Sus scrofa: one gene and its partners. The protein of the gene in region 4 interacts with the protein of the main gene of each other region in a pairwise test. Links are inferred from orthologs where the notes say so. Each region holds a gene or a part of one and is shown on either strand. Other genes may lie near its edges.

Region 1 (4,153 bases), on a different chromosome or scaffold from region 4:
CTACGTTACAGACATATTTGAGAAGGCTGAACTCTAGAAATAATCATAACATTCATGACAATGTAGTGGCAAAAACAACATCACCATTTATTGAGTGGTTATAAAATAGCAAGACTCTTTCAAGCACTTCACATGGATCATTCAACCCAACCTTAACCCATGAGTGTGGAACCAGGATGATCTTCACTGTCCAATGAAGACAGGGAGTTGATGAAATCAACACAGGCTGGATTTTGACCTCTGACCCAAGAAATCCAGTTCTTTTAGTTGTAACTACTCCGTCTTTTAAAAATTCTCAGAGTTCCCATCATGGCTCAGTGGTAACAAACCCAACAAGTATCCATGGGGACGCGTATTTGATCCTTGGCCTTGCTCAGTGGGTTAAGTGTCTGGCGTTGCTGTGAGCTGTGGTGTAGGTCACAGATGTGCCTCGGATCCCGCCTTGCTGTGGCTGTGGTGTGGGCCAGCAGCTGCAGCTCTGATTCGACCCCTAGCCTGGGAACCTCCACATGCCACGGGTGTGGCCCTAAAATGACAATAAATAAATAAATAAAAATTAAAAATTAAAATCCCTCATTCCCCTCAATAAAACTGGAATAAAAAAAGATTAAAAAAAAAAAAAAACAACTCACCCCTTTACTTTCCCCTACTTCCCTTTACCCTCTCCATAGCAGGGGCATCCTTGAGGTCCTAATCCTAACCCATCCATCCTTAGGAGCCCAGAGTTGTGGGGGAGCTTTGCTCCCCATCTTAGATAACCCCCTTCAGCAACCATGGCCCCCTCACTAGCCTTTGAAGAAGGATGGAATGGATTCCTACAAATATTCTACAGTCTCACTATTCAAATGTGGTCCATGAGTTCCCTGGTGGCTCAGGATCCCCCACTGTCACTGCTGTGCTAGGGTTGCTGCTGTGGCTAGGGTTCGATCCTTAGCCAGAAAACGTAGCATGTCCCCACCCACCCCACTCCCTGCCTGCCACAAAAAAAAAAAAAGAGCCAGTGAATGGGTCTCACCCCAGATCTGATAAATCAGAACATCTGAGTGTTTAATCACGGTTTTTTTTAATATCCTTAGAGTCAGAATGACAGCCCTACACAGTCCCCACTGTACAGAGACTGCTCGGGGTAGTACACGACGTCTTCTGCCTTTACACTCCCCCGACACCCTGACTCCTGACAGCTCACTTTCTCTGACCTCGCACGTCCTACCTTTGAAACTACAACTCCCACAATGCCCCCGAGGCACCCACGTCGCTTTACGCGACTACATCTCCCAAGGTGCTCCTCGAGCCATGCAGCCACCAGGGCGCCTACTCTCCCCGACATCGTCAGGACTACAACTCCCATAATACTCCGTGACAAACCTACCGCCCCCAGCGGCGCCGGAACGGCGCCACGTCCCCTCCGGCCACTTCGAGTGAGGCCGGTTTCGGGCGGGGCCCGTGGGGTGTGGAGGGCCCCAGCCTCGTTACAGCGGTTCTTCCCCTCACAACACAGACATGGCGGCCGAGAAGGACCAGCAGAAGGATGCCGAGGCGGAAGGGCTGAGCGCCACGTAAGCAAGTCTAATCTAGCCCCCCTGACCTAGACCCGAGAGTCATGGCTTCTCGCCCCTCATCCCTGGGGAGTTAGGAATCCGGACTCCTGGCCCCGGCTCAATCCCTTCCTCCCCTGGAATCCAGGAGTCCTGGACCATATCTCCCCCGCCCCCCAGAACCCCGGAGTCCCGCTCCCCTCGGCCCCCTTCTTGCTCGGGGGTCCGGGCTCCAACCCGGTCTACCGCTGACCTGGTCCCGCACCCCCCAGGACCCTGCTGCCGAAACTGATTCCCTCTGGCGCGGGCCGTGAGTGGCTGGAGCGGCGCCGTGCTACCATCCGCCCCTGGGGCTCCTTCGTGGACCAGCGGCGTTTTTCGCGTCCCCGCAACCTGGGCGAGCTTTGCCAGCGCCTCGTACGCAACGTGGAATACTACCAAAGCAACTATGTGTTTGTGTTCCTGGGCCTCATCCTGTACTGCGTGTGAGTGTCTCTCTGGCCAGAACAGCCCCCCTCAGCCAGGCCCCGCCCCCGCCAGGCTGCCATGTCTGCACTGGCCAGGCCCTGTCCCCATGGGATAGCTCTGTGGGATCTTTACCCCAGAGGACCAGGTCCCTACTCCATCAGCCTGGCTGGGATGCAGGGGGACCAAACATGACCTAGACTTGCGTGGTCCTAAGGACGTCCCCAGGTGTAGAAGGTCAGGGCCTTCGTGTCTGACGCAGCCCCAGCGGCCTGACTGTGCCTCCCTGCCCTCCTCCAGGGTAACATCGCCCATGCTGCTGGTAGCTCTGGCTGTCTTCTTTGGCGCCTGTTACATCCTCTATCTGCGCACGTTGCAGTCCAAGTTTGTGCTGTTTGGTGAGAAATCTGCCCAAACTCCTCTGATCCTGGCTCTTTGAATCCAAGCCTTAGACCTCAAACCTGAGTCCTTTTGAACCCAAGTCTGCCCAATCCTAGACCTACAGTAGATTCCCCATACCCACACCTGATGCTCCTATCCACTCTCAGTCCCCCCAAATTGCTGTTTCCCAAACCCAGAAGATATCCAAGAACCACTCCACCTAGCCGCTGGCCTTTTAAACCTCCTCCTTCTCTCTCCCTCATCTGCCAAAAGCATCAGCTGCAAGTACCCACATTGGACGCCAGGTGGCGACTTTACTCTAGCCTAAATCTGTCCTCCCCCTTTCGTGCTTCCTGGGATGGGAGTAGAAAAATCTTGGGACTTCTCAGAGGGAAGCTGAGGCCTGTGGCTCATGTGGTCCTAGACTGGCACCAAGCACCACTGGGAAGAAAGAGGGCCTGAGTTCCCAACTAAGGGAAACTCAAGGTTTGGAGTGGAGATAAGGGGGAGTTGGAATCAAAGAAACAGGTAGACCTAAGACAGAATCCATCAGAAGCCTGCCAGTTATGTATCTGGTAAGGGTGGGCTGGGTGGAGGAGCATGTCAGGCGAGCACAGGGCACAGAGGGAGCGTCCAGAGCATAGTCACAACTTGTCTTCAGCCACTGCTGCCGCCAGGGTTTGCAAGTCTGACTTTCCAATCTGCCACAAGAAGCCAGATGTCTATACAGCCATCTCTCAGCTTTTCTAGGAGCCCCCAGATTTTGGATACCCAAATCCGAGGATGCTCAAGTTGCTGATGTAGCAATGATGTAGTACAGTGACCCACGGGTGCCCATCTGCGGATACAGAGGGCCGACTGTATTGCTGTGTGAAATCATTCTGTCTGTATGTCAGCAGCAAATCAACAAATCGTGGCTCAGCGGTTAACAAGCCTGACTAGGTTCCACGAGGATGCGGGTTCGACCCCTGGCCTCGCTCAGGGTGTTAAGGATCTGGTGTTGCCGTGAGCTGTGGTGTAGGTTGCAGACGTGTCTCGGATCTCGCGTTGTTGTGGCTGTGGATCTGATTCGACCCCTAGCCTGGAAACTTCCATGTGCTGTGGGTGCGGCCCTAAAAAGCAAAAAAATTATTGTGGAATAATATGCAAACTCAAAAAACATGTCTAGGTGTCAGCCTGGGCCTTTGGGATGCCAGTTGGAAAACCCAGGTCTATGCGAGGGCAGGTTGGAGCAGGAAAGCTGTAGTTTGGGGAGGGAGAGTCTGGGAGCTTCCTAGCAGAAGTAAAGTTGAAGGGTGGAGGGCGGTGGGGGGGATTACTGAGGAAGGTGCACTGTTTCAGGGGACAGTGGGTGGGGACGCTGGGGAAATGGCTGGGGCCGGACTTGGAGGGCCTTGGCATAAGGCATTTTGGGGGTTACTCTGGGAGAGGGGACAGGTGTGGAACAGCTGTCCCAATGCCATCTGCCCCCCCAGGCCGAGAGGTGAGCCCCGCCCATCAGTATGCCCTGGCCGGGGGCGTCTCCTTTCCCTTCTTCTGGCTGGCTGGCGCGGGATCCGCCGTCTTCTGGGTCCTAGGTGAGTGAGTACAGGGTCTCGGTGGCGCGGTGGGCAGTGGGGGCCGGGGAGGCAGCAGGCCCTGAGCTGCCCGTTTTCCCCCAGGAGCCACCCTCGTGGTCATCGGCTCCCACGCCGCCTTCCACCAGATAGAGGCTGTGGACGGGGAGGAGCTGCAGATGGAACCTGTGTGAGGTGTCTTCAAGGACATGTCGG
Region 2 (3,511 bases), on a different chromosome or scaffold from region 4:
GGCCTACGCCACAGCCACAGCAACACAGGATCCTTAACCCACTGAGCGAGGCCAGGGATGGAACCCACAACCTCCTGGTTCCTAGTCAGATTTGTTTCCACTGCACCACGACGGTAACTCCGAGAGATTCATTCCTTTGGATGTTACCCATGATATAGAATATGTAAAAATCCAGCGGTTATAAAATTAATTATAAGCCTTCTGAAAACTTGAGCATCATAGGATGTAATTAATTCCTTTTCTTTGTATTCTCAGGGTTATGGTACTCCTACTAGAGAGTTATTTCTGTACCCCGCGCCCCGTGGAATGACGGCGTTTCCGCACCTTCTAGGGGTCCAGCCTCCCCTGCCCAGCTCAGTGTGCTGTCTAGACAGGCCTTCCTTGCTGGCCGTCCAGCTTCTTCCAGCCTGTGCAGCGCCTGGCGAGGGGTCTTCAGGTTTTGTTTGGCCAGAGTGTTGGCATCCCTTTCTATAATTGTTATTATTGTCGTTAACTTGGGGGTTATTTTCGGCCCTCTGCTTGCTACCGCCCCTTGGTCTCTAGTAATGGTGCGTGTTCCGTGGGGCTCCTCTCAAGCGCTGACCTCTCTGAGCCGCGCAGTTTCGGACCAAAAGAGACACAAGTGAGAAGAGAGGGTCACTTCAGGGCAGGCAGAGGTCGCGCCCTGGGGAAGAGGAGCCCCTGCCTGCGGGAATAAGGAGTGGAGGCAAAGGGTTGTCCTCCAGGAGGTGAATTTTGAGCAAAGAGTTGAATGAATCACAGATTTTAGTGGCCGGGTGTCTCGGTGTGGATACATGCTTTCTTTTCTGTTGGGTAAACATCTGAGATGGAAACACACGGAGGATGAACCTGGGTTTAACGTTTTAAGAAAACACTGCCAAACTATTTTCCAAACTGGTTATACCATTTTCATTTCCACCAGTGGTGCATGAGGGTTCCAATGCCTTCCTGGCCTGGGGACACTTGGTGTGGTCAGTTTTCTAACCTTTTTGGTATTCTCCATGCATGGGAGCCGTATCTCATTGTGGTTTTAATTCACTTCTGATGACTAAAGACGCCGGGCATCTTTTCATGTGCTTGTTCGCAGTCAGTATATCTTTGGGGAAGTTGCCCAAAGTTGGGATCTTTTGCCCAGTGGTTTTTTTTGGGGGGAGGGCAGGGTGTGCCTGTGGTCACCAGCAAATTCCTGGGTTTTTTCCACTGCTGCATCACCAGAGAGTTTCTGGAGTTCTTCTAGAAGTATTTGGAAAGAAGATTTTGTCTCCCTGTGGAATCCCCTCTGTTGAAAATCCATTTGTTTGTTGACTGTCTTTTTGGTCCCTTGAGCTCTGTGTTCTAACCCATCCCACATTATCAGGTCCTTAAGCTGCAGAGCCACCAGAGAACTCCTAGAATTACCTCGGGAGCTTTTAAAGCTGCTGATGCCCTTGGTCTGGCTCAGGTGCGGGAGACTCCTTAGTGGATTGTGAAGTGCCAGGTGGCTGAGAGCTCAGGGGACTTGCTACCTTTGACCTTATCCTAGAGGCCCCAGGCTGTTCTGTGGCTCCAGCACGTTCCTTCTGCCTCCTTGCGGGAACCCCACGTTGTCCCTTCCAGGGCTGGCATCTGTGTCGTGTGCATTGTGGGCTCTTCTGGGCTTGTCTTTGTGCTTGTTCACGACTGGAGTGAGCTCAGGCCCGGCTGGGCCTTCCAGGAGGAGGGTCTGGGCCCCCGTGAGGTCCTCCGTGGTTTGTGGCACTGCCACGCCTCTCTTGGGAACTGGCAGCTTTCTGAGAAAATGACCACCTTTTGGTCCAGGATTTTCGGTGAGTGTAGTTCTTTCCATCCCTCAGTCTAAACTGGTTGATGTCCTTTATCTCCAAGCTCTGCTGCTTTTCTCCTTGTCCTTGTAATGCTTTCTGCCTGTGTTTTGTCCCCTTTTCTGCCTTCCTTAGGTTTGTTTTATTCATCTTCTGGCTTTGTTGACTTTAGCTCATTGCTCTTAATTCTCGAGGATCCCAGCACAGCTTGATGGTGGGGGGTGGTCCTGGGCTTGGGGTCCCAGCTCGTCTGGTCCGAGTGCTGTCTCGTCGGTTGGGTGCCAGTTTTGAGCTCGGGTCGGCTGGGACAGAGTTCAGACGCTCCCAGGTGCCCTTGGTTCCTCAGAACTGTTCTGTTTCGGCTTCTGTCGTTTCCTGCTTTGCCGTGTTCTAGTTGGAAGATGAGAGTCTCCACTAACTTTCGGAAGTTGAAGTTTTCTTTGATGACCAAATAGATCGCTTTAAAAGTGTAAGCTCAGGAGTTCTCAGGTGGTGCAGCAGGTTAAGATCTGGCATTGTCGCTGCAGAGGCTTTGGTCCCTGGCCCAGGTTCTTCCAGGTGCCACGAGTGCATCAAAAAATACATACAATAGGAGTTCCCGTCGTGGCGCAGTGGTTAACGAATCCGACTAGGAACCATGAGGTTGCGGGTTCGGTCCCTGCCCTTGCTCAGTGGGTTAACGATCCGGCGTTGCCGTGAGCTGTGGTGTAGGTTGCAGACGCGGCTCGGATCCCGCATTGCTGTGGCTCTGGCGTAGGCCGGTGGCTACAGCTCCGATTCAACCCCTAGCCTGGGAACCTCCATATGCCGGGGGAGCGGCCCAAGAAATAGCAACAACAACAACAAAAAAAAAAAGACAAAAAAAAAAAAATACATACAATAGGGGTTCCCATCGTGGCTCAGCAGGAAACCTGACTAGAATCCGTGAGGACGCAGGTTGGACCCCTGGCCCTGCTCAGTGGGTTGAGGATCCAGCGTTGCCCTGAGCTGCGGCGTAGGTCACAGACGCGGCTCGGATCCCTTGTCGCTGTGGCTGTGGCACAGGCCAACAGCTGTACCTCCAATTCGACCCCTGGCCTGGGAACCTCCATATGCCGTGGGTGTGGCCCTAAAAAGACAAAAAATAAATGAACGAGTGAAATAAATGACATAAAACTGCAGCCTCTGTTTGCAGGACTTGGCCTCCTTGGTCTTGTCAGTGATAATCACCCACGTGTTCTGGCTGAGAGGCGTTTACAACTGCGCCGCAAGTGGGATTTGCCTCTCGTCAAAGGGCCACGCATCCCCTGGTGTGTGGCTGCGTTCTCACTTGGTAATTTTTTCTTACTCGTGGACTTAGCTCTTCCAGATTAATTAAAAAACAGAGGTAGATTTCTGAGCTGGAAGTATCTTTGTGTTGGAAGCAGCCCGGGTGAAGTCCTTTGATAACTGGATTTCCGTGCTTTTCCCCCTGCTAGGTACGTGTGTGTTCGCTGTTTTTACGTAGGTCTTTCCTTTATTTTATGACACCAAGGCGTCCGGCGTTTCCAGGCCCACCTGCTCCTCGGGCAACAGCTGTGGAAATGGAGCAGGAAAAAGTCAATGGGAGTAAGGAGCTGAGCGCAGACGCCGCCTCCTACCGCTGCTCCGCCTGCCATGGGGACGAGGACTGGGCGCTCGGCCACCCCATCCGGGGGCGGGCCAAGTCCCGCAGCCTGTCAGCCTCCCCCGCC
Region 3 (3,511 bases), on a different chromosome or scaffold from region 4:
GGGTTTGTTTGCTTTTGCACCAGCCAATACTATAGAACTTTGTAGTGGTTTACCTTCTCACCTAGAATGTAAGGCTCTTCTTCTCTCAGTCAAAATTGTAGATTTGGCTCTAAATGCCTGAGAAACTAGGAATAGATGGAAAGCGAGAAGCAGTTCTCTAGTGAATAGAGAGTTTAAGTGCTTGACATTTGGCGTTTGGGAGGGGGCCAGCTTGCAGATAAAGTGAAAACGTGCTCTATTCTGGATCCACTGCCGTGTGACTTTGTTGTAACCCAGTTTAGTTATAAATAAAGCCTTTTGAGAGTCTCCCTACAGATACATAATTATAGCTTCTCTCATTGTCCGCTTTTACACCAGCGGGGACTGAAAGCTTACAGTGCAGCCAACACTCATCATCTCAGGTGTGTGGATTCCTGGAAACCACCTCAGGCGCATGTGCATTCGGTACATTTGCCCATGCGTCTCTAATAAGTGTGTTGGCTCTTTCTTTTTCCTAGAGACCAACTTAAGGCACACCTGTAAACGGATAATGGACATGGTGAGCAACCAGCACCCCTGGTTTGGAATGGAGCAGGAATATACTCTCATGGGCACAGATGGACACCCCTTTGGTTGGCCTTCCAATGGCTTCCCTGGGCCCCAAGGTGAGTCCTCCCGGTGAGAGAGGAATCTTGCTTTTTCCCCAAGTGTTAGTTGGCAAAGAAAAAAGTATCTCTCCAGAGATTGGAATGAATCCTCGTGGATTAAAAAGGTAGAGGAGTAGTATCCCAGAGACTGGTTGAAATAATACTGTAGAGCCCTTGTGTCACCCAGATCCAGGCATGGACATTTAGACATTAACACTGAGGGGAACCCTTTGGCTTTATGAGAGGAGCCCCCTGCACCCACTCCTCTACGTCCAGGGACAGTTAGGGATGGGATTCTAGAGAGCAAGTGGTTGAGAGCTTTCTGACATCTGACTTGGGCCGGTCATCTTACCTAGCTAGGGATTTTCTCCATGTCTTGCCTCTTGACATTCATTCCACCTTGATGCCTCTGCAGGTCCGTACTATTGTGGTGTTGGAGCAGACAAAGCCTATGGCAGGGACATTGTGGAGGCTCACTACCGGGCCTGCTTGTATGCCGGCATCAAGATTGGGGGCACCAATGCCGAGGTCATGCCCGCCCAGGTAAATGGCTCTAGCCCATCACCTTCCCCGCCTGTAGGCAAATGAGGGTTTTGCTAGCAAGGGCTGCTGTGATGCACCAGTCCTTAACCCAGCACTCTCGAGGTGCTGTGGAATAGAAGTGAAATGGGAGCAGGTGGGTTGGGGCGAGCAGTTGGTTTTGCTTTAAAGGCCAATCTTCTTCTCGTTCTCTCTAGTGGGAATTCCAGATCGGACCCTGTGAAGGAATCGACATGGGAGATCACCTCTGGGTGGCCCGATTCATCTTGCATCGTGTGTGCGAAGACTTCGGAGTGATCGCCACCTTTGATCCTAAGCCCATTCCTGGGAACTGGAATGGTGCCGGCTGCCACACCAACTTTAGCACCAAGGCCATGCGAGAGGAGAATGGTCTGAAGTGAGTGTGGGCTCCTGCTGGAGCCATTTCACTCTCTTTGCAAAAATACTTGCCAAGGAGTTCCTGTCCTGGCGCAGTGGAAGCGAATCCTACTAGGAACCATGAGGTTGCGGGTTCGATCCCTGGCCTCACTCAGTGGGTTAAGGATCCGGCGTTGCTGTGAGCTGTGGTATAGGTTGCAGACAAGGCTCGGATCTGGTGTTGCTGTGGTGTAGGCCAGCAGCTGTAGCTCTGATTGGACCCCTAGCCTAGGAACCTCCATATGCTGCGGGTGCAGCCCTAAAAAGTTAAAAAAAAAAAAAAAAAATGCTTGCCAAGAATTTGATGTATTGGGGATGAGTAAGCTGGCCTCCTCAGTTCATGCCTTAGCTCTTAGCATTCAGCTTCAAAAATTGTCCTCTGATCCTGATGTTTGGTTTCTATTTGAAAAGTACCCCCAAAATACTATTAGGAGCAGGATTCGAGGATGGTGATCGGGGAAAGTTGACATAGATTAATGCGTTTGGAAATCTACAGAACTAAAGTAGCAGCAACACAAGCTTATGAATCAACTTCAGGCCCGTGAGTGGGAGAAAGTCTTGGATGGGGGTCTTTTCATTCAACACAGGAGAAGACCAGCGCTCTTAAGCACAAAGACACAAGGGTTACAAAGCATAGTACTGCCCCTGGGGAGGAGCTGTTCCCTGGGGCCATGCTTGGGAAAATTGATCCCTGGAAAACAATCTTTTGTAGATGAGTCACTCCATCCTTGGATCCATACCTGCTTCTCTGCCTTTGAAGGGCGGGTCTCCTGGTGGCAGGTCGGACTCTCATCTTAACTCTTTCCTCCAGGTACATCGAGGAGGCCATCGAGAAGCTAAGCAAGCGGCACCAGTACCACATCCGAGCCTACGATCCCAAGGGGGGCCTGGACAACGCCCGGCGCCTAACTGGATTCCATGAAACCTCCAACATCAACGACTTTTCTGCCGGCGTGGCCAACCGTGGCGCTAGCATCCGCATTCCCCGGACTGTCGGCCAGGAGAAGAAGGGTTACTTCGAAGACCGTCGCCCTTCTGCCAACTGTGACCCCTTTGCGGTGACAGAAGCTCTCATCCGCACGTGTCTCCTCAACGAAACTGGCGACGAGCCCTTCCAGTACAAAAACTAAGTGGACTAGACGGGCAGCCATCAAAACCCCTCCTAATTCTACACCGCCCCCCCCCTCGCCCCTCTCAACTGTCGTAATAGCTGTAACTCAAAGGGCGGAATAGCAAGGTCTTTTTTATTCCTCATGCCCAGTTAATATCTCTTGCTTTCTTTGGCCAGGATAGAGGGCTCAAGTTCCTAATCTCTTCACACACACCCCCCGCCCCTTTTTTTCCCTATCACTGAAGTTTCTAGTGTGTTAGTGGGGAGGGAGGTGGGGAGTCATAACCACTGCTTCCATTTCATCAGGTGTGTTTGTCCAGTAGGCACAGCTATCCGGACAGAGAACATAGTCTTTGTGCAGGGAAGGGGCAGACTTTCTCTGAGTGGTAGTTGAGTCAGGGGTCAGAGGACCTGACTTTGGTTCGGTTAGAAGTCTCCTTCTTGGTTGGTGGGCCTTCCATTCCTTAGAAGGTTAGAACCAACTTTCTCTTAAGGGTGAGCATTAGGAGAGAAGGAAGGGTGGGAAATGAGGTAGGAAAATGCCCTCGATCTGGTGTGGTATTTCCCTTGCCTGGGGCTAAAGGCCCTGATTATGTTCGGCGTAAATGGATGGCTAGCCCTACCTTAAAAGAAAAAGTTCTTACTGTCTGGTCCATTTATAACACAAAGAAGAGTAGTATTTTTATATTTAAATGTAAAAACAAAAAAATTATATATATGGGTGTGCAGATAATGGTTTTTTTTTTTTTTTTTTTTTTTTTTTTTTTTTTTTCCTAAGAGAGAAAACCATTCTGGTCACTGGGAGCCAAATTTGAGA
Region 4 (4,164 bases):
TATGTGAGAAGGGGCTAAGGATTTGGTGTGGCTGGAATTCCTGAGAGTAACATCTAGTTCATGGCAGCTCTCTAGGCACATCTTGTGAAAGTGGGTCTTTGTGTGGTAGCAACAAGTGCTGTGGCCAGAAGGTTGGTGGGCTGCCTGTTGATGGTGACCCACACTTCGCAGTCTACCGGGCTCCTCTCACGACGTCTCACCTTCCCGACAGCCCTGGGAAGGAAGAGCTGTCAGGAGCTTACTGTACAGATGAGGGAACAGGCCCACAACTTACTCAGGGCACAGATCAGCCAGGGAGCAGTGGCTGGGCATCCAGCTCCAAGTCCAATGCTTTGTCTGCTCCACCAAGCAACTGTCACCCCAAAAGGGATGTGCCCAAAGCCAGCAGAAGGGAAATGGGAGATCTCACTGGGGCTGAGCAGCTCAGAAATGGCTGGTTTCAGTTTCATGCCAGCTGGCCCTGCCTCCCTGTCCTGAGAGGAGGTTAAAGACGCTCTGAGGAGGCAAGGTCAGGCCAGGGGAGAGGCAGGAGCTCCCCAAAAAACAACCCGCACCTGGCTGTCAATGGACCAGGCCCTGTGAAAGTGTTAGGGGTGTGTGTGTGCAACAATGACAAAAGGCAGAACCCCGCCCCTGGCGGGAGAGGGCCCTGAAACTGATGATTGGGAAATGTGGCCGCCGGAGGCGAGGGACCAGGGACACTGCTGAGGGCTGATCCCAGGCCCTTTCTCTGCATCAAATCCTCGCCTCCCAGCCTCCCACCGCCAGGCACACCTTGACCTTCCCAGCTCTGCTCCCTCCCTCCTCTGAGCGCCTGTAGCAATTCCTGCCCAAACCAGTCATTTAGCACTTGGCTTATTAAGTCCATTGACTTTCCATTATATAGCTATGGCCACCTCTCCAGCTGGATCGGAATCTCCTCCAAGGCAGGAGCTCTCGTCCTCCTTGCCCCGTGACATTCTAAGCGAAGAAAGGTTATTTGGGCAGTGTCATTTCAGGTAATGCAGTGGTATGTTTATGACAAAAGCTAGCCAGTGGGTCCAAGCCGTGGGCGGACCCGGTGACAGCATCGGGCTTGTGACGTCACCGTCGCTGGCGGCTGCGGCGCTCCGCAGCCTGCGGGCAGGGTGACGTCACCGTCGGAACCCGTTCAGACAAGTGCGCGCGGGAGGAATTAGCGAGGCTGGCGGCGGGAGACGCCGGGGAGAAAGGAGGGAGCCACCGAGCGTCAGAAGCCTGCCGGGGGCCGCAGAGCGGGGGCGCGGCGCCCAGCCCCTTATGGACTGGCTCCGCCTCACAGTGACGAACACGCTCTAGCCAATCCTAGCCGGCCGCGGTGACGCGTAGCCTATCAGCGGCCAGGGCCTGCCGGGTGCTTCCGCGTTCGCGAGCGCTCTCCGCCCGAGCCCGCAGGGGGAGGGGTTGGGGGCGACGAGTCCCTTGGTCACCCACGTCCACCCTACCCTTCTCGGCGGGTCTTCGGGGCCCTCCCCATCGCCTTTTAGGGGACCCGATGGCCTCGGAAGGCCTTGCGGGGGCGCTGGCGGCCGTTCTGGGGGGCCGGGGTCTGCGGGTACAGAGCTGCGATTCGAAACCGGCCGGGGAGCCGCTGGCGCCCGTGCGGCTGCGGAAGAATGTCTGCTACGTGGTGCTGGCCGTGTTCCTCAACGAGCAGGTGAGCGTCCGCCGGTCGGGCCCACCGCCCGGACCTCCGGAGCGCGCAGCCAGCCCCGGTGGGGACCGAGGACCTACCGGCAGCAGCCACCGCTTCCTGGTGTGTGGCTCTTCCCAGTTTTGCAAAGCACTCTTACACTTATATCTGAGCCTGGTGCGGCCGAGCCCTGCAATTGTCACGAAGTACAGAGGAGGAAACTGAGGCCCAGGAGCCGTCTGTCTCATCCCACTAGGCCTCAGTTTCTTGAGGAGAGGGCTGTCTCTTCCTCCTCTTTTCCCCAGAATCTAGCAAAGTGCCCGCCGCGACGTGGTTTTTTTTTTAAAAGATCTGTCCAGTTCTTCAGAGATTCCCCCCTTGGGTCCCATGGGCAGTAACTGCACAACCTGCGCTTACACTCTGACCTTCTGACTTCCTGTGTGATGCTCATTTTGGTGTAGATCCCTGCATAAGTGGCTTGTAAAAAGAGCTAGAAGGCGTCAGGGCCATAGGTAGGAGTTCAATGGGGCCATGGTTTGGGGTGTGTTTCAAAGCTGACAGCCCAGTGTGAAGACTGGCCACAAGCAGTTTATAAACCACGAGGGAGGTGGGAGAGATCATTGACTGGTGCAGACAGAAATCATGGCGGGGCACATGGTAACAACCCTCGCTGTGAGGCCTGTTCTCTGGCCCCTGAAGCAGCTCACAGGAATCTCAGCCCCCTTCTGAAATGGAAACTTGAATACAAAGTGGGATGAATTGCAGAGACAGCTGCAATCTACCAACACACAAGGGCCAGGCCCCTGGGGAGCTCAGCAATTTCAGGGTGTCCACTAGCAGCTGTACCTGAGCTTTGATCTCGGCAAGTGAAGGTTGCTGGCTGTCCCACTCCCCTGGAGCTCCCAGCCCAGCTGTGGTGGCTAAGAATCCTCTCTCTCCCCTCAGGATGAGGTGCTACTCGTCCAGGAAGCCAAGAAAGAGTGCCGTGGGTCGTGGTACCTACCCGCGGGGAGGATGGAGCCTGGGGAGACCATCGTGGAGGCGCTGCAGCGGGAGGTGAAGGAGGAGGCTGGGCTGCACTGTGAGCCTCTGACACTGCTGTCCTTGGAGGAGCGGGGCCCCTCCTGGATCCGCTTCGTGTTCCTTGCTCGCCCTACAGGTATGGCCCAGTGGGTGGCAGTGTGGGCAGGGGCAGTTGACACCATTTCCCCAGCTTGTTCTCAGGTGAGCTGAACCCCTGTTCTGGCTGGTTCAAGCCTGGCATCGCCAGATTCCAGTTTGAGACTTGACTCAGGGCCTCCTGTGCACCTGCTGGGTCAGAGCTCGATTCCTGGGTGGGCCTTTATTCTGCCAGGTCCAGCACTTCCCTCAACAGACTTTTTCCACGTCCTTTTCCCCCACATCTATCCCAGGTGGAATTCTTAAGACTTCCAAGGAAGCAGATGCAGAGTCCTTGCAGGCTGGCTGGTACCCACGAACCTCTCTGCCCACTCCACTTCGAGCCCATGACATTCTGCACTTGGTAGAGCTAGCCGTGCAGTATCGCCAGCAAGCCAGGCACCCTCTCATTCTGCCCCAAGAGCTTCCCTGCAGTTTGATCTGCCAGCGGCTTGTGGCCACCTTTACCAGTGTCCAGACAGTGTGGGTGCTGGTTGGCACTGTGGGGATGCCTCACTTGCCCATCACCGCCTGTGGCTTTGCTCCCATGGACCAGAGGGGTGGCATCAAGATGGCTGTCCTGAGGCTGCTACAGGAGTGCCTGACCCTGCACCATTTGGCAGTGGAGACCAAGGGGTTGCTTGGACTGCAGCACCTGGGCAGAGACCAAACGGATGGCATCTGCTTAAACGTGCTGGTGACGGTGGCTTTCCGGAATCCAGGTATCCAAAATGAGCCCCCAAAGGTTCGGGGTGAGAACTTCTTTTGGTGGAAGGTGGAGGAAGACCTACAAAGCCAGCTCTTACAGAGGCTTCAGGAATCATCTGTGGTCCCAATCAATAGATAGGAGGCTGCTGTCTGTGGGCCAGGACATGGGCATCTCTGCTTTAGAGGAGGCTTTGCCTCCTCTAAGGGGGACAGGGTTGGCAGTCAGGGATCTTGTCACATCAGAACCAGGACAGTTCTCCTGGCTCCGAGGGAGACTTCTGTCTCTCATCACCATGGACCAGGTTTCTGCATTGCACCAAAAGAGACAGTGCCTTCAATCAAGCAGAGCTCATAGACCCAGTTGCCCAAGGGGACAATGATGGCATGACTCCCTAAGGGGATGTGAGGACTTTCTGAACCAGGGGTGGCATCGCCTCATCATTTTCCAGGCCTGCCTCAGTGAAGGCTTCATCCGGATCCTTGGGCACTTGGAACAGGGAGGGGGCACTGAGGAAGGTCATTCCAAGGGAGTGGGTCCCTGGCTGAGTAAAGAGGTGTTGCTCACTTTGCCTTCTCACCTCATTGTCTCTGCGGGGAGGGAATGAGCAGGAAGGTGGTGGTGGGGCATTCCCACTGTGGCTCAGTGG
Region 5 (4,104 bases), on a different chromosome or scaffold from region 4:
GGGCAATTTTCTCTCTTCGCTAAGCTCCTTCACTTCATCCTCAAAATGAGGACGTGAGGGCTTCCTGGGGGAGGAATTCTAATGCTCCAATTCCTTTGCAGCCTGCCCTGGGACACTCAGGAGCCAGAAATGGCTCAGAAGCTCTGGGTCCTGGAGCAGGTAAGGAATTGGAGATCCAAACTAGAAGCAAGAAAGTCAACAAAAGGGTGAGGAGTAGCATTAAGTATTAATGTCTCCTGAGTACTCTTGAGTACCAGGGTATGGATGGCAGAACATTTCAGAGACGCTTGAATTCCTGGGGAATGAGAAAGCCCTAGTTCACAGCGGTTCCACCGTTGCTGTCAAACTCTGCTCCTCTGTCGGGAAGTTTTCGGGCAATTGGACTACAGATCCCATAATGCACGCAGACTTAAAAAGAGGGTCTCGCCCTGTTCAAAATCCTTTAGAGCCATATGCTAGGGACTACAACTCCCAGAAGGACACGCTCTGCACCGTGGTCCTCACCTTACAGGCAAATTATTCAAGGCCACCCCTGCATCTTCTTTTTTCTAGTCCGAGGAACACGACCCCTTATTTACCAACATCTGAGGGTCACCGGGAGCGAGTTCTCAGCCTCTCTCAAGCCTTGGCTGCTGAGGCGTCACAGTGGCACCGAATGATGACAGGTGAGAATGGGCTGGGGACCTTGGGCTCCTGGGTGTTAGGGAAGAGGGAGTCTGGAGGCCCGGAATCCTAGGTCCTGGTGGGGAGGGGGGTCCGACGACCGCCAGAAACCCTCTGCCTTGGTAAAGAAAGAGCTGGACAGGGCTTGGGGGTTCCAGACCCCAGTAGGAGGGGACTGGATCCCAGGACTGCCGTGTCTGGGGAGGAGAGGACGGGGAGCCTGGACTCCTAGGTTTGAGAGGAAAGTCCTGGGTGTCGGGACTTCTGGGTCCCAAAGTTTGCCATTCTCGTTCTCCGTCCGTCCTCTCCAGGTGGCAGTTTGGACTCTCGAGGAGACCCTCTTCCCCCTGCGTCGCCACCTCCGTCAGATCCCACGCCCTGCGTGTCCTCGCCCCCAAGATCTCCTCCAGTGGCCAGTTCCCACTCCACGGGGTTCTCCCACCGAGGGACTGGGCGCGACGCAGGCCCGGCCTCTTGGGAGCCGACCTGGGATTCCGGGACCGCCCCTCCCGCGCTAACCCCAGACGAGGAGGCGTGGCCTCTGAGAGTCACGCTGCTACAGTCCAGCTTCTGACCCGCCCAAGCAGGGCAGCCAATCAGAGCTGGAGGGCGTGTCCCGGAGGTACTTCCGGGACAGATGGAGCCTCTTCCCTCACCTGAGGGCGTGATCTGGTCCCCTCCCGGTGGCCGAGGAGTGGCTACTTTGGCCAAAGTTTGATTTTCCCAATACTTGTCCAAATTTGGATTAAAACATTGAACTCTTAGTCGATAACTTTCTGTCTGTTTGGAGTTGTGACACCGGTGTCTCGAAGAGGTAGAGCTGGAGTGGTGAACTCCTGGGTCCCGCGGGAGGAGGGGACAGCGGACTCAGCTTTGTGTGTCAGAGGAACGGGGGGAGCTCGAGGTCTGGATTACTGAGTCTGAGGGAGGAGGGGGCCGGCGACCTGGATTCCTGGGTCTGAAGGAAGAGAGGACCCGGGACCTGGACTTTGGAGTCCAAGGTCCGGCAGAGGGGGCCGGACTCCAGGAATCCCGAGTTTGAGGGTTGGGGGACCGGCCTCCTGGGTCTGAGGGAGGAGGGGGCTGGGGCCAAGTTCCAGGCTTCTGGCTTTCCTGGCAACGCCCCCGGGGCCGGGCTTCAGGATCCAGCCCCTATTTATGGTTCGACCCCAAGACCTCACCGGACTTCAGAGGGGGATAGAAGCCTCGAGTGAGTGTGAGTGAGTGGCCGAAGGAGACCTTCTGACGCGGGATGGCAACGGGAACGCGCTATGCCGGGAAGGTGGTAATCGTGACGGGGGGCGGGCGCGGCATCGGAGCTGGGATCGTCCGAGCCTTCGGTGAGTGGGGTCTGGTCGGCTCTGAACAGTGGAGTCTGGGAGCGGAGGGACCCGGGGGCTAATGGGTGTGGGACGAAGTATCTTCTGTACTGGAATCTAGATTCTTGTCTCGTAAAATCCAATTTGCAAAGTTAACGAAGGGAAGGCAGAGGTGGCCTGGGGCCTGAGATTGCGGCGGATTTTCAAATGCCATTGACTCCCTTTCTCTGGGTCTCAGCTATTGCTACAGAATGGGGGGCCGGGGGTGGTGGTTGAAGGAATATGTCTTTTGGAGGTTTAGGGTTTACTCTAGAACCCAGGGATGGAGACTCAGGAGCCCCAGAAGTCACCTGGAATAGCCAAGGAGAAGGCTAGGCTTCTGCCTTTTGCCCTACGGGATCATCATGAGACTTTGGGGTCACGAGGGGAACAGAGCTGGGGCGGTGGTGGGGGGGGAACGGCCCTGTTCCGGGTGGCCACAGAGGGCAGCAGAGATCTTCACCAAGGTCTCTGCAGGGCTAACCTATTCCCTGTCTATTCGCAGTGGAAAGTGGCGCCCAGGTGGTGATCTGTGACAAAGACGGTGAGTGAGGGTCCCCCAGTCCTCAGCCCACTGCCTCCTCCCTTAGATTCAAGAAGAATACAGGCCCCAGCACCCTCCTCCCTCAGACCCAGGATCCAGCCCCAGCCCTCCTCCCTCAGACCCAGGATCCTGGGCCCCCAGCCCCTCCTCTCTGAGACCCAGGCTCCAGCCCCCAGCCCTTCTCTTCCTGCAGAGTCCACTGGTCGGACCCTGGAGCAGGAGCTGCCTGGGTCTGTCTTTGTCCTCTGTGACGTGACTCAAGAGGATGATGTGAAGGTGAGCGCGTAGTTTCTGTCCCTCCCCGTCCCCCTCAATCTCCAATCGTTCTCTCTCTCCCTTCACCCCGGGCTTTGCACATGCTATTCCCTCTACCCTTCCCCATCTCCTGGCTAAATGACACCTGCCCCCAGAGTCTCAGCTCAGTTTCATCGCAAAGCTTTCCTAACTCGGCTGGCCACGTCCTGTGTCTGCCGAGAAGATTCTCCTCTATCTCCCAGGCCTTCAAGGCCCCTGGTCCCTCCTGTCACATGATCTGGATCCAGTAAGAGTTCTCCTTCTCCCAGGGTTTCTCCCCTTCCCTTCATCTGCTCCCCCATCCCCCACCCTCCTGGGTCTCTGGAGTAGTGAGCTCAGGGTGTGTGTCACCAGCCCTCTGGTCTCTGGCACCCTGGCGTCCAGTCTCCTCATCTCCTGCCATGCCTGGCGATTTGGGGTCGGCCCCCACAATGTCCTGTCCCCTCCGCGGTGACTCCGCTTCTGCCACGTCTCACTTGGGGGAGCCCAGCAGGGGCGCCAATGCTGTTCACTCACAAGACAGCTTTCTCCTCAGACCCTCTTTCTGAGACCATCCGCCGCTTCGGCCGCCTGGACTGTGTGGTCAACAACGCCGGCTCCCGTGAGTTGTCAACCCGCTTCCCGGGCTCTGTCCCATTGCTGCTCTGTGTCCCCAGGCCTGTGCCGCCACCTCTTTATGCCTCAGTTTCTACATTTCTAAAATGACAATGACCACCACTGTCCTTGCCATTACAGGGTGTTGAGAGTATTAAATAGTGTAACTGGGCGGAGTTCCCGTCATGGTGCAGAGGAAATGAACCTGACTAGGAACCATGAGGTTGCGGGTTCAGTCCCTGGCCTTGCTCAGTGGGTTAAGGATCTGGCTGTGAGCTGTGGTGCAGATACGGCTCGGATCCCGTATTGCTGTGGCTGTGATGTAGGCCAGAGGCTGTAGCTCCGATTCGACCCCTAGCCTGGGAACCTCCATATGCCACGAGTGCGGCCCTAAAAAAAAAAAAAATTGTGTCACTGCTCAGCCCCCTAATCACCCTAACTGTCTTGGGCAGACAGCGTCCATCTTGCAGCCTCCGTTTTGGTTTGGTTTGGTTTGGTTTTGGCCATGGCATGCAGAAGTTCCAGGGTCAGGGATTGAATCTGCGCCACAGCAGCAATAATGCCAGGTCCTTAGTCTGCTGAGCCACCAGGGAACTCCAACCTCAGTTTCTTTAAAGTGAGGCGGATGGCTCTTTTTTTCTGTGACTGTGA

The links.
Region 1: the proteins of NUDT18 (region 4) and RABAC1 interact in binary tests that used the Homo sapiens proteins (3 or more experiments, as listed by UniProt). The two-hybrid records come from large-scale screens. The link is inferred for Sus scrofa from reciprocal best matches to the Homo sapiens genes NUDT18 and RABAC1.
Region 2: the proteins of NUDT18 (region 4) and NADK interact in a two-hybrid assay, tested with the Homo sapiens proteins (2 studies listed by BioGRID and IntAct). The two-hybrid records come from large-scale screens. The link is inferred for Sus scrofa from reciprocal best matches to the Homo sapiens genes NUDT18 and NADK.
Region 3: the proteins of NUDT18 (region 4) and GLUL interact in a two-hybrid assay, tested with the Homo sapiens proteins (2 studies listed by BioGRID and IntAct). The two-hybrid records come from large-scale screens. The link is inferred for Sus scrofa from reciprocal best matches to the Homo sapiens genes NUDT18 and GLUL.
Region 5: the proteins of NUDT18 (region 4) and HSD17B14 interact in binary tests that used the Homo sapiens proteins (3 or more experiments, as listed by UniProt). The two-hybrid records come from large-scale screens. The link is inferred for Sus scrofa from reciprocal best matches to the Homo sapiens genes NUDT18 and HSD17B14.

What each region holds. Positions count from the first base shown.
Region 1 is NC_010448.4:49,932,088-49,936,240, forward strand, and holds the start of RABAC1 (prenylated Rab acceptor protein 1), read left to right. Parts: upstream 1-1,351; 5' UTR 1,352-1,500; coding exon 1,501-1,556; intron 1,557-1,807; coding exon 1,808-2,020; intron 2,021-2,300; coding exon 2,301-2,398; intron 2,399-3,856; coding exon 3,857-3,958; intron 3,959-4,042; coding exon 4,043-4,131; 3' UTR 4,132-4,153. UniProt on the Homo sapiens protein: General Rab protein regulator required for vesicle formation from the Golgi complex. May control vesicle docking and fusion by mediating the action of Rab GTPases to the SNARE complexes.
Region 2 is NC_010448.4:63,856,588-63,860,098, reverse strand, and holds part of NADK (NAD kinase), read left to right. Parts: intron 1-3,285; 5' UTR 3,286-3,301; coding exon 3,302-3,511.
Region 3 is NC_010451.4:123,752,573-123,756,083, reverse strand, and holds part of GLUL (glutamine synthetase), read left to right. Parts: intron 1-497; coding exon 498-644; intron 645-1,041; coding exon 1,042-1,169; intron 1,170-1,363; coding exon 1,364-1,563; intron 1,564-2,394; coding exon 2,395-2,713; 3' UTR 2,714-3,511. UniProt on the Homo sapiens protein: Glutamine synthetase that catalyzes the ATP-dependent conversion of glutamate and ammonia to glutamine.
Region 4 is NC_010456.5:6,378,907-6,383,070, reverse strand, and holds NUDT18 (8-oxo-dGDP phosphatase NUDT18), read left to right. Parts: upstream 1-1,358; 5' UTR 1,359-1,513; coding exon 1,514-1,675; intron 1,676-2,596; coding exon 2,597-2,810; intron 2,811-3,063; coding exon 3,064-3,656; 3' UTR 3,657-4,084; downstream 4,085-4,164. UniProt on the Homo sapiens protein: Mediates the hydrolysis of oxidized nucleoside diphosphate derivatives. Hydrolyzes 8-oxo-7,8-dihydroguanine (8-oxo-Gua)-containing deoxyribo- and ribonucleoside diphosphates to the monophosphates. Hydrolyzes 8-oxo-dGDP and 8-oxo-GDP with the same efficiencies.
Region 5 is NC_010448.4:54,141,344-54,145,447, reverse strand, and holds the start of HSD17B14 (17-beta-hydroxysteroid dehydrogenase 14), read left to right. Parts: upstream 1-1,304; 5' UTR 1,305-1,477; intron 1,478-1,837; 5' UTR 1,838-1,915; coding exon 1,916-2,003; intron 2,004-2,526; coding exon 2,527-2,565; intron 2,566-2,758; coding exon 2,759-2,841; intron 2,842-3,378; coding exon 3,379-3,460; intron 3,461-4,104. UniProt on the Homo sapiens protein: Catalyzes the NAD(+)-dependent oxidation of L-fucose, yielding L-fucono-1,5-lactone, which rapidly converts spontaneously to L-fucone-1,4-lactone. Can also act on D-arabinose and L-galactose, with lower catalytic efficiency. Does not use NADPH.